Linked DNA regions of Kluyveromyces lactis. The protein of the gene in region 1 purifies or fractionates together with the protein of each later gene. This does not show direct contact. Links are inferred from orthologs where the notes say so. Each region holds a gene or a part of one and is shown on either strand. Other genes may lie near its edges.

Region 1 (2,959 bases):
CTATCAAAGATGAAAATGGAGCAAGCGGACTCACAACTAGTCAAACTTCAGAAAAGCGTTAAACAGAAGCTTGCGAATCAACAGGCAGAACTAACCACCATCCATAATGAAGAAATACAGGCATTAAAACAAGAAAATAAGAAGCTTAATGACTCCCTAAAGGAAAATAATGACTTGAAAAATACTAAGATCAAACAGCTAAAAAGTGAAGTTGATGAATTACAGACACGTCTTGAGGTCGAAATATTTAAAAATACCCAATTACAACAAGCAAAGTCAAAACCGGTAAAGACGAAAGACGATGGTACTGCACAATTACCAGCTGTATCAACAGGTAGTAAATTACCCAGTACTACAACCAACTTGCTTTTATTAAGTTCTATCTCGGCAGGGGCTTTGGCTGCTGTGTTTAAATATGCAACAAAGTAAAACTAATCATAAATATCATTCTTAAAGTAAAAATTAATCTAAGCATTTCTTGCAGACTACGGGTGATGCGTCTAATCAGTGTAAATGGGTAAATCATCAAGTTGAATTCTCTCTACTGTGGTAATGCCCAAAAGTTTAGCTAATTGATTCACGAATGCAACTGCTACATCATTAACAGAGGTAGAACTATCAGGGACTTGTTCTCTTATGGAAGTGGCTTTTTTTTCTGACAGCCCGCACATGGTAAAACTGTTCATATAAGACAAGTCTGGGTCAACGTTAATACAAATACCATGTGAGGTGACAGATCTTCTGACATGTATGCCAATACTGGCAATTTTTTCTTGATTAGAGACCCAAACGCCGGTATCATTGGTTTTTTGGGTAATTAAATTCAATGGTTCATCTGATCCTTGGAATTTTGGAACTACTTTTAATGCGTTCATGGCCGCGTTATCAATAGTTGAAACTAAGCATTTGGCCGGCAAGTTCTGAAATGTCTTTAAATCGAGAATGATGTATGCGACTATTTGCCCTGGACCATGAAACGTCACTTGGCCACCTCTTTCAGCCTGCACAAATTTGGGTTTTTTATTATATTTCTGTTTTGATGGAATAAAGCCTTCATATCTGGCGATCTGTTCATCCGTAATTTGTTTCTTAACACGTTTTCCGCCAGTATAAGTGGGTTCAAATTGAAATGTAAGCACAATTGGATTTGGCTTCATCTGATTGATATTATCTAGTATCATTTGTTCGTGAAAATTCAATTGTATCTCGGCATTATGTTCTTTTTGTAAGTTTGTCATTTCTCTCTTTATCTTGGATTGTAGTTGCTTAATGTCAAGATGAGCGCGTACAAATTTCTCCTGAATATCGATCCCCGTTTCAAATGGGATCTCTTTAACGAATTGCAAGTGTCTGATTGTTTTAGCTGAAGGATCAATTGGTTGCGTACGGGCGGTTGATGTGCATTTCAGAGTGGATTGAAACCGGACTTTACGGAAAATTGTACATCCAAATTTTGAAGGGTACCAGTAATTAGTACCTATCAGCATCAATTTAGACATACTTAGAGTACTCTCTGGAATCTGGCTAACGCAGAATAATTGCAGGTGGTTAAGGCACCTATGTCATTATCTGAATTGGGGCCTTTGTTTATGCGGAAATTCAGAAATGTACTGTTCTGTTTTTTTTCTCTTAACAAAGACATCGCTGAAATTTAAGAATATGAAGCACAATGAAGCGATGAGCATACAGGAAACATGTTTCATGACGTAGCTTCAGTAGATAGATCATATCACGGGGTTCAACAATGAGAAATGATGAAACCAAGTTTTCAGATGGTAAGATTTCTAGATTACTAGAGTGGCTAAATGGGTCTGGAAAATGCTACGTTAATCCAAAGATCGAGGTATTTGAAGATCCGTTAGTTGGCCGAGGGATCAGGCTTGGCAACGGTATGTTGACCAAAAATGAAGTATTAATTTCCATTCCTAGTTCTCATCAGTTAAATTTTCACACGGTGTTGCATTGGATAGCAAAATTTAATAAGAATATCTTTACCAATGATAATATATCAATTGGTGAAGCTGCAACGGAATTGTTTGATGACCAGGGCCAAGAAGATCCCAGAATAAAAGCTTATGGAATTTTCAATCAAGAGGAACTTACTGATTTCAATTCTTTTCAGCTACTATGTCTTTTTATTCTTGCAGAATGGATTCTGCTTCCGAATTGGTCTAACGGTACAATAACGTCATGGTGGAAACCGTTTTTCGACATATTTCCTACCGACGACGAATTGAGATCGATTCCTACAAAATGGAGTCTAGTCCGTTCGGATAAAAATGCATCAATTTTACTTGAAAGTCTTCCAACGGCGTCAAGTGAGCACGAAAAGAGGATTAGTCAACTTTTGCTAGCTGATTGGAATGCTGTACGAGGATTTCTTAAAAAATGGACCGAAGAATTTACTCATTCAACTATTGGCATGGATGAGTTGTTCTCGCATTTTGTACACATTTATTTTGTGATTAACTCGAGATGCCTATATATGGAAATTCCATTAAAAACTGATGTCAAAGATTATTTCACTATGGTTCCCTTTGTCGATTATTTGAACCATACTAATAAGGCGAGTCTGCATTGTTATCCGGAAATCAATAAATTGAAAAGGAATGTCTACGGGTTGGGAGAATTCTCGATTAGGGTTGGAAATCACCAGTATGAGAAGGCCGGCGAAGAGTTATTTCTCAACTATGGTGCTCATTCGAATGATTTCTTATTGGCTGAATATGGCTTCACGACTTTATGCAATGAGTGGAATTTCATTGATTTGACTCCAGAATTTTGTAATATGTTTACTGACCCGAAGGATATTACATTTTTGGATAATCTCGGATACTGGAAGGACTTCACTATATCTAAAGGGGAGATAAGTTACAGAATTCTGGTCGCTGTCTCTTTGCTAGTTCACCGTGATCACCGAAAAACAGAGAGATTCGCTCTGGGCTATATTACGGAAGAA
Region 2 (2,241 bases), on another chromosome or scaffold:
ATAATTGAATGAGTTTTAGATCAATATTTCGCCAGATGTCGTCGGTAGCAGCGAACAGAAGCATAGATGGTCCCATTGCTCAGAGGATCACCAAAAAAGTGAAAGATACTTTCCCAGATCTTTCACATTTTGCTATTTTCAATGACTCATACAAGCATAGCGGTCATCATGGGATTCAAGATGCTGCGAACAAGATTGAATCACACTTCAGACTAGAGATAGTGAGCGGATTGTTCAAAGGGAAAAGCCTTCCCATGAGACACCGAATGGTATATGGGATGCTAAATGAGGAATTTGATGATGGGGTACATGCTTTACAGCTAACGACAAAAACTCCGGAGGAGTATGCCAAGAAGCATGCTGAAAATTGACGTACGTTAAAATCAACCTGAACCGATAAAATAGTTTAAAAACTTGATACTTAAGTGTATACATATATCGTGATACCAACGCACACATATAAACACGCCGCATTAAACATGTAGCTGGATATTATTGAATCAATGGTCTTCCTTTAGATGAGCTTCGTACTGCTCTAGCGATAACAATTCATCGGATTGTAAATCTGCCTCATCGTTAATTTTAATCTTGATGATCCAACCTTCACCAGCTGGGTCGCTGTTGATCAATTGTGGCGAGTCAGACAAAGCTTCGTTCACTTCCACGACAGTACCAGCGACAGGAGAGTAAATTTCAGATGCAGACTTGACGGATTCAACAGAACCAAACGAATCGCCAGCCTCTAATTCGGTATCAACATCTGGCAATTCGACGTAAGTGGCATCACCAAGTGCATCGGCTGCGTACTTGGTAATACCAATGAAGGCAGATCCATCTGGATGAGCAGCAACCCATTCATGCTGTGTAGTGTATTTAACGGTTTTTGGACCGGTTTGAGAGAAAGTGAAAGGCAATTGAGATTGGTTTAAAGCATTTGTCGATTGAGCTCTCAAGAACAAACGAGAAACTGTGCTCTTCGCAATACGAGAAGAGACAAAAGCAGTACGAGAAATAGATGAAGAGAACATAGCTTCTTACCAGGGGCGTCACTGTTCTAAAATCAGATGAATGTTACTCATTCAATGGTAAACTTAACTTTAAAACACCAATGTTGCAATGTGTATCTATTGAAAACTTCTAACATAATCATCATATATACTTAAATAACATCAAGGGTTCTTTCCGAGGTTCTGATTGACCATGAGAAAAGAAGAAGACAGTCACATGACCGAGAAAGTCGTATTTTTTTGACCGGACGTAAAATTGACTTGGAGTGTGGGCATTGCCAAGTCAGAATCTCGCTGTTTGACTTGGCCAGAAAGCGGGTGGACGAAACCCTCCTTCGAGCCGTGAAAAAGTAACAGAGACGGTATACCGGCCGCATGATGATTCTCTGGGGCAGATACGGGAAGAAAAATATCACGTTCCCACGTGATTTGTATATATCTTTAGATATGTGGATACCGGTATGCAATGCTGATGTTGCTACATTTGTGGTTCGTTTTGCATCGTTCCGGTTTATCTATTATCTAATTTTTTGGCTTACCGAGTGATATCCATCGTGCAGTTAAAGATTAGATATTGCGAGCGTGATTTATCAAGAGAGAAAACAGTAGCTGTTGTGAAGATCACATTTCGATACGCGAATGCAAAACACAAAATCTAATCGAAATCAAGTTAGCTCGAGCCTTTCCGACGTGAGACCTTAAAAAAAGAGAACACTAGGATTATCACTTCTTTTGTACTGTTGTAGTTCTGTAAAGCCTTTTTTCTTTTTGTTTTTCTTTGACAAATATCCCATAGACACCGAAAACGTCAAACTGAAATGACATGTCAGCCAAATCCAAAGTAAAAAAAAAAAATCCAACAACGAACAGTTACACTTTGAACAACTGGTTTTAACACGAGTGCAGATTGACTGAATTAAAGTACAATTAATAGAAATATGTTATCTAAACCATGATTGATCCGTAAGCTTTTAGGCTTTCTTGTATTTTTTTTTTTTTGTGTAAAATGATTCTGAATAAAATAATTCACTATTAGAGTTATTTATGTCTTGAATTGCGTTAGATTTTGTGGACAGGTAGAAAGTGCAATTTCTGATCTGGAGCCATTCTGAAACTAACGTGTACAAAGTAGCCTCGAAAAGGATTCCTTTCAAGTGGAGTTTCAGGTGGAACTATAATTCTTTGCTTTTTCTCTTTTCTTATTATTAGCGTTTCCACAATTGAAAAGAAAAAA

What was found. Proteins that work in one complex are often made in the same cells at the same time.
Region 2: the proteins of LIP2 (region 1) and GCV3 purify together in Saccharomyces cerevisiae (affinity purification with mass spectrometry; 3 studies listed by BioGRID). This does not show direct contact. The link is inferred for Kluyveromyces lactis from reciprocal best matches to the Saccharomyces cerevisiae genes LIP2 and GCV3.

The regions. Positions count from the first base shown.
Region 1 is NC_006040.1:1,582,114-1,585,072, reverse strand, and holds LIP2 (lipoyl(octanoyl) transferase LIP2), read right to left. Parts: upstream 1,500-2,959; coding exon 501-1,499; downstream 1-500. Other genes in the region: KLLA0_D18799g (uncharacterized protein), read left to right, coding at 1-429; RKM2 (protein-lysine N-methyltransferase), read left to right, coding at 1,745-2,959. UniProt on the Saccharomyces cerevisiae protein: Catalyzes the transfer of endogenously produced octanoic acid from octanoyl-acyl-carrier-protein onto the lipoyl domains of lipoate-dependent enzymes. Lipoyl-ACP can also act as a substrate although octanoyl-ACP is likely to be the physiological substrate.
Region 2 is NC_006037.1:323,991-326,231, forward strand, and holds GCV3 (glycine decarboxylase subunit H), read right to left. Parts: upstream 1,029-2,241; coding exon 501-1,028; downstream 1-500. Other genes in the region: BOL1 (Bol1p), read left to right, coding at 9-371. UniProt on the Saccharomyces cerevisiae protein: The glycine cleavage system (glycine decarboxylase complex) catalyzes the degradation of glycine. The H protein shuttles the methylamine group of glycine from the P protein to the T protein.